2 linked regions of the Nothobranchius furzeri genome follow. The protein of the gene in region 1 purifies or fractionates together with the protein of each later gene. This does not show direct contact. Links are inferred from orthologs where the notes say so. Each region holds a gene or a part of one and is shown in the gene's direction. Other genes may lie near its edges.

The links.
Region 2: the proteins of ptpn6 (region 1) and rpl35a purify together in Homo sapiens (affinity purification with mass spectrometry; 3 studies listed by BioGRID and IntAct, with this or other methods). This does not show direct contact. The link is inferred for Nothobranchius furzeri from reciprocal best matches to the Homo sapiens genes PTPN6 and RPL35A.

The regions. Positions count from the first base shown.
Region 1 is NC_091745.1:73,963,614-73,967,113, reverse strand, and holds part of ptpn6 (tyrosine-protein phosphatase non-receptor type 6), read left to right. Parts: intron 1-806; coding exon 807-903; intron 904-993; coding exon 994-1,073; intron 1,074-1,156; coding exon 1,157-1,303; intron 1,304-1,452; coding exon 1,453-1,584; intron 1,585-3,206; coding exon 3,207-3,358; intron 3,359-3,500. UniProt on the Homo sapiens protein: Tyrosine phosphatase enzyme that plays important roles in controlling immune signaling pathways and fundamental physiological processes such as hematopoiesis.
Region 2 is NC_091753.1:55,779,260-55,783,310, forward strand, and holds rpl35a (large ribosomal subunit protein eL33), read left to right. Parts: upstream 1-1,251; 5' UTR 1,252-1,341; intron 1,342-1,426; exon of another isoform or gene 1,427-1,639; intron 1,640-2,005; 5' UTR 2,006-2,030; coding exon 2,031-2,041; intron 2,042-2,264; coding exon 2,265-2,417; intron 2,418-2,495; coding exon 2,496-2,640; intron 2,641-3,731; coding exon 3,732-3,755; 3' UTR 3,756-3,809; downstream 3,810-4,051.

The DNA.
Region 1 (3,500 bases):
AATGTTTAAAAAAATTGAATTTTTTTCTTTTTTAGAACTCATTTTTTGCAGTGTAGCTGTAAAATCTACTTAACCTTCACAATCCTCATGCATTATGTTATATAGCTATAGAGCACAGCTTTAAATTAAACATTCTCCTGTAAACTAGAACAACAGGTTCCTTGATCGTTTTTTTTTTTGCCTTTTATTTTAATTCTAGTTTTTTCTCCTGATCTTTCGTTCTTCCTTACACAGGATCAGCTTTCCATTTAGACCTCCAAACCTTGACCGATGAATCAATAATGCTAAAGAAAATGAATAAAACATCCTGAGCTCAACACATAACAAGCAGCTGAACAAAGAAACTGGTTTTGAAATACGGATCTCCAGGATGTTTGTTACCAGCAGCTGGACACAGACACCAAATCTTTTTATTTGTTAACATCAGTTCTTCTAAACCTTTATCATTTAGGACTTTTTTCCCAAAGCTCACACATCAAGTTGCCTCAGTTTTTTCTGACACACTGCACAGATATTTTGACTGAACTGGACAGAAAACGGGTGAAAAATCTGCCAAAATATAAAAAGGATTAGTGAAAAATCAAAGTGAAAATGTTTGGTCATCCTTTTATGAGACCTACAAAGGTTTAAATAGAGGACCAGAACAAAAACAAACAAGGTCATTTAGAGAATAGCTAGGAGGAATTAGGAGTTTTTCTTGTTCCTGCATATAGGAAATTGCAAAAATACATTTATTTTGATGAGTTTGTCTCAATAAAATCGTATGTAATTCCCAGTATCTGACACAAATATCTCTTCTCTTGCAGGCTCTTCAAAAATTGGAGACGAAGGTGAAAAAGAGCAGAGAGGAAGGTCAAAGACCAGAGAATAAGAGCAAAAACAGATACAAGAACATTCTTCCCTGTGAGTTTTAACCTTCTGGTTCTCGCTCTGTAAACAAAAACCCGGTTCTGTGACCAATCCTGTCTCCCTCTTCTTGTCTTCTCTCACAAGTCAACGACACCAGAGTCATCCTGAAGAACGCTTCTCCTGATGTCGTCGGCTCCGATTACATCAATGCTAACTACGTGAAAGTAAGTGGTGGAACGCTCTGGACGAGCAGCGCCGCCGTCTGAAAACCGTCTGGGCCTTTAGCGTGTTTGTGTGTTGGTTGCAGAACAAGCTGTGGGAATCTGTTGGACAGAAAAAGTACATCGCCACTCAGGGATGCCTCGCAACAACCGTCAACGATTTCTGGCAGATGGTGTGGCAGGAGAACACAACTGTGATTGTCATGACAACGAGAGAGGTGGAGAAAGGACGGGTCAGTATCCAAAATGACAGGAACAGACACTTAAAAAAATCCAAACATTCCTACTGAATAAAGATGAACTTTATTGGCTGAGATGCAATAATCTACATTTGCTGATGATATTAGAGATTATCTGAGTGTCTTTTTTTGCTTTTCTGCAGAATAAATGCGTACCATACTGGCCGGAAAGTCAGACTTCCAAGAACGTGGGAGATTACGTGGTGACCTGTGAGTCGGAGCGGGAAGCTTCTGATTACAAAGTTCGACATCTGAAGATCGCTCCCGTGGCTAAGGTCACTTTCAAACCTCTGACATCATCAACTCTGTGCACTTTAGTCGTCCCTCCTTCTTTTAGATTTTCTTCGTTGTGATCCTTAAAGCAACACTAAATACATTTCCTGCCTCTGCTGGTTGAAAGCAGAAATACAACTGTTATAAACAACCTTGTAGCAGCCTGTCGTAGCTAGCACTAACAAGCTAGTGCTAGCCAACTGATACTGAATAAACCACAAAGTAAAAAGTTCCACACTGTTGGAGAAAGGATATTATTACTTACACGTCCAGTAGCAACAAAGCCAGGTCACCATCAGGCCGTGATTTTGCAGCCTCGTTTAGCTCCCTCAAACTAGCGTAGGGCGTGCCGATGTTCACTCAGGTTTTAGCTCTTTGCTTCTGCTCCAAAGACATTACTCTCTTACTCGAATTCTCTGCCATGATGCCAACAAAAAAAGCAAAAGTCGTCTTCTTCTTGACAGTAAGTGAACCAAAAAAAGCTAACTAGCCTTTTTAGCTAACTGCTAGTAGCACAATAAACAACTAACCCCCAAATTCCACTACCTCCGCTCCGCTCCGCTCCGGTCCGCCCCCGCCTTCCGCAGCCGCTCGCTTCCGAACTCAATTTTTACTGGTATCCGCTCTACAACGGCTCCGCTCCGGTGCGGAGACCTGAGGGGGGCAAACAAGCATGCGCGGGATTTTCGAGATCTTGCGATACAGTCCGAGCAATAAACGCGGAAGTTAGATCCAAACACCCGTTGTGCGGGAGAAGCATCGAAATGAGCTGTTTAATCTGCCCATCATTGTGTTGAGAGATCAGCAGTGTTTGGATCAACAAAGTGTGACTACTTTGATAGTGGCAACTGTATTTATGGCTTATTTTTGTGCATTTAAACTTCAGCCGCCATTGATAGTTGTTAAAAGTTGTTAAACCTGTGCATATGAAACAAAAAACGCCTTTTGTTTATCGATTTATTGTGAAAAACGGAAGATGTGCTTGCTCCTTTTCCTGTTGGGCCGTTGTGATTTCTGTCCATTTACTGCGGAGGTGCTCCGGCGTCCGGCAAAAATAGGATCGATTCTATTTTTGCCGGACGCCGGAACAGAGGGCGCCGCACGGCGCCGCACTGCCGGAGCACGGCCGCAGTAGTGGAATTGCTCTGATTGACTAGAACGGGACCGATTTTGCTCCGGCGTTCGTGTCGGAGCGGAGCGCAGCGGAGCGGAGGTAGTGGAATTTGGGGGTAACAGCTATAGAACAGGGTAGAGATCTCCCACCAGTGTTCCTACCCAAACCATAGAACTGTTTGGTCCAGTTTCTGGTCAGCAGGGGGAAACGGAGTGCTGTCCAATGTGAAGTCGGTCAAATTTATGGCTCAAAAACCACTGAAACCAGTTTGAAAGCAATAGCTTAAAGTATCTTCAGCCTTTGTGGTGGTTTTTCAGATCACTTTAGTCCAGAACTATAACATTTTGGAGGAAACATTTGCATTTATGTAATAGATTAGAATAAGAACATCCTTTATAGTCCCCTGATGGGGAAATTTAGGTGTAACAGCATCAAAGTACATTCACAAGAAGATTAAAAGGCTGTAAAGTAAAAAATATATATCTGAAACCATTTTTTTCTCACTCCCAGCCCAATTTTTCCCGTCCAGTATGGCACTACCAGTACCTCAGCTGGCCCGATCACGGCGTCCCTCAGGAACCAGGCGGAGTCCTCAGCTTCCTCACCCAAGTCAACGCTAAGCAGGACGAATTTAACACTGGTCCTATGATCATCCACTGCAGGTACCGAGTGCCTCGGGTCACTGCTGAGTCACTGTATTACAGAATAAATATCACCATAGATGTGCCTTTTTAATTTCCTAATACTGTTTTTTTTTGTACATAATTCTTTGAGGGTTTAAGAAACAAAAAATTAAGATTATTA
Region 2 (4,051 bases), on another chromosome or scaffold:
CACATTAGACCACTCCAGTTTCATGTTTATTTATTTATTTATTTTTTGTAAAAATCATCAAACACTTTTCTTTTTGGTCCACAAAAGACAGGACTGAAGGAGCCAATGCAGTATATTCTCCAAGACTGATGTGAGGAGAAAGGATGCTTCATGTTAAAATAACACTATCATCAGCATACATTTGGAAGTGTACACTGTGTCACACATTTGGCACATCATATATATATATATATATATATAGATAAGGAAAATAATACTGGCCCCAAAATAGAGCCTTGTGGGACCCCCGCTGAACAATCAAGGTATGATGACATCGTGTCCCTCACACACTGTCTTCTGTTGGACAAGTAAGACTGAAAACAAGCTATAGTGCATTTTCTGCTAAATTGATGTGAGTCAGTTTGGACGGAAGGGCTTGATGGTCTACTGTGTCCATCGTCTTCTATAAATCCAAAAAACACTGCACCAACACAGGGGGTTTTATCGTGCAAGGATTTCACTGTTTCTACAAAGATCCAGTTTGCTGTCTCTGTGGAATGGTACTGCTGAAACCCAAACTGCATGGGTGCAAGAAAGAATGGTGGCTGTGTTTATTCAGCAGCTTTAAATATAAGGGTCATTCGCAAGAAACCTTAACTTTCTAAGTAAGATTAATTATTTAAACAATGATAAGGTGAAGGTTTTTTTTGTTGTTATTTTGTTTTTTACAAGGCTTTAATGAACCGGTTCACCATTTCTTAGCTTGGTGGTCTCAGTGTGAAGAACCAAAACAATCAGACAGTGGCCCTGTCGGTACATCGTCAATCAAGTGAAGCATTTTCCACAGGCTTATTATTTCTTCTTTTATAAGTTTCTCAATTTACACAGATTACTCCATTGTATTTAAATTAACTTACTTTAATCTGTGTTTTTGTGTATTTTGTGCTTTATGTGTATGGCTGAGACAAGTTTCACTATTGGTCAGTAAAGTGAACCTGGACCTATAAAAGAGCTTTTATTTGCACAGTCAGATGGAATAACTGTTAATTAATCCGTTATTAAAAATAACGAGGCAATTTTAAGTGTTCCAACTATAATTATTTGTGTGTGTGTGTGTGTGTGTGTGTGTGTGTGTGTGTGACTTTTTCATGTGTTTTAGGCAATTTGGCGAAATTTACTGAAAGAAATTAGAAATTATTTCACTAATCTCAGTGACTCGGTTTTAATAGTTTATATTTATAATTGTATTCTAACTTACGGGGCATTTCCGATCAGGCATCTCCGCGGACACCTCTGTATGGTGTCATTACCCATCATTCCTTTCGGCCTGCCTTTTCCTCCATCTTTCTGGACTAGGAGCAGGTAAGCGTTGACTTCTCCTAATCAAACTTAAATTTCACCTGTAAAGTGTTTCATCTGAGGCCGATACCGGTCTGCTCTCCGCAGGCAGCGTCCCCTCCGTCCTCCGGTGTGTCGGTGTCCGTACTGGAAGTCCCGATTGTGGAGATTCGGTTCGGATGATGGAGCTAACGGCGGCTAACCAAACAGAGTCCGGTGTATGCATCGGGATGGGAGCGTTACAATTCACGGCGCTCCGTCGCTTTCTCGGGTCGTGTTCGGGTGTTTCCGGGAACGAAAAGCGTGACTTTTTCTTTCTAACGTAAGAAGCTGTTTTAAAGCGTAACCCGCTGTTAGCCGCGCTTTAATTTAGCCGTTTGTTCCGGGACCAGAGACCTGATGAGCTTCTGTTTGGACCTCCTTAACTCACCGGAACTTCCGGAATCACCGCGGAATCGGTTCGGTGTTTTCTCATGTGATATAGACACTGAAGATCTGTTATTGGGCTATACTGGTTCCGTTTCTGGAGTGGACTGGGTGGCGTTAGAAGTGAGGAGGAACCTTTCCCTAGAAGTTGAAGGCTAAAGCCAAATATGAACTCCTGCAGGAGAAAGGGACAGCCAAGTTAAAAAGGAGCTCTGTTAAATGGGAACCTGCAGTTCTAACGAGACACTTTCTGTTTGTACAGGTGAGCTCGCCTGAAGAGGACAACGATGCCTGGAAGGTAAGTTCAGATCTCTCCTGGGTTTTCAGATGTTGAGCAGATCAGAGATCAGCAGCTGGGGGTTCTGATTGTTTGGTCCATTTCAGTAGGTGTTACCTGCTCTAGGAGGGGTTATGATCCAAAATTATCAGAAAGTTCTCAGCTGTTCCGATACAAGTCAGACTGCAGACTCTTATCGGGACTATGTTGATGTTTGTCTCTTGTTGGTTCTCTTCTGACCCAGACTGTGGAGCAAGGCCATCTTCACCGGCTACAAGCGCGGTTTGAGGAACCAGCGTGAGCACACGGCGCTGCTGAAGCTAGAAGGCTGCTACAGCAAAGACGAGGTGGACTTCTACCTGGGGAAGCGCTGCGCTTACGTCTACAAGGCCAAGAAGTAGGGACCGCACACACTGGTGCTGCTGCTTCGTCTCTGGGGCTCCTGGGGACTGACTCTGGGTCTGTTTCACCACAGGAACACGGTGACACCCGGTGGGAAACCCAACAGGACCAGAGTGATCTGGGGGAAGGTAACCCGGGCCCACGGCAGCAGCGGGATGGTCCGAGCCAAGTTCAGCAGCAATCTGCCGGCCAAAGCGATCGGACACAGAATCCGTGTGGTGAGTTCTTCTACTACCTGCTGCGTCCCCCAGACCCGTCTCCTCGTCTCAGACCAGGTCCACCTCAGTCTTTAGCAGCAACACGGTTGGCTGATCGTCATTAGACCCTTTACTGACGATGGGGTCAAAGTTCTCTCTCTCTGTGTGTGTGTGTGTGTGTGTGTGTGTGTGTGTGTGTGTGTGTGTGTGTGTGTGTGTGTGTGTGTGTGTGTGTGTGTGTGTGTGTGTGTGTGTGTGTAAAACTGGTACTAATTGTTTTAATTGTTTTTACTTCCTGTTTGGATCAGTTGGGCCTGACCCATTAGAATAGTTCTAAGACAAGGTGACAGATCATTTGCTGCTGTGACCTCCAGACTCTAGAACCTCTCCCTGAGCCTGAGATCAGTGGACTTAATGGTCTCCTTTAAAAAAAAGCAACTGAAGAATTACCTGGTCAGACGTTTGGGGACATTTTGTCATTGAGCCGGTATACTGGTACAACAAAACTTGCGTTTCAGCATGACCCGTCCACGATTTAGACAAGCAACACTTTTAAAAAAACCAAGCACGACCAGGCTGACTGGCTCCTGAACCACCGCTCGTTAACGGCTCTTTTTTCTAGTGTTTCTGCATCTTTCTTTCTCTTTTATCTTCAAAGAGGTTCTACACCTATAACATAACGTCAGCGGGCAAATCTGGTCAATTCAATAGAAAACAGCTGGTATTTGACCCAATTCCTCTGGAGGTTTTTTTGGACGCGTCACTCTGATGGCGTCTTCTCACCCGTGTCATTGTGGCCAGGGATGCACAAGCTGCATCAGTATCTGTATCGTCTGACGAGTAAAACTGGGTCGATGTTAAACAATAGTTTTTCCATCTCGTTTCCATTTAGGCAGTTTTGAGTGTGTGTGTGTGTGTGTGTGTGTGTGGGGGGGGTGTATGTGTAATTTTTTTTAGTCATGTGACAGTGTGTTTGTGTGTGTGTGTGAATAAAAAAAATCAGTATCTTCAAATATCGGTCATTGGCCATAACAGTAATATTGATATCTGTATTGGCCCAACGTTTTCATATCGGTGCATCCCCAATTCATACAGTCTTCTCCTCTTTACAGATGCTGTATCCATCTCGGATCTGATGGGGTTGGATCATCTGGATGTTTGTACAGAAACAATAAACAGATTAAAAATCATGATCTCAGTGTTTTTCCTTCGTGGATCGGCTGGTCAATAGTTGATCAGCTGAGTTTCTGATCTAAAAGATCTTTAAAGAACAGAATTTCTTTTGGACTGATATCTGAAGTCGTTTGTTTTAACTGATGAAACAAATGAGCTGCAATCCTGGGTGATTTAAATCCACTGAAGAACCAGAACCTGAGACCCGATGGTTCCGAAGGGATCATAAGAACTTTTTCTGTTTCTGTTTGGAGTGCAC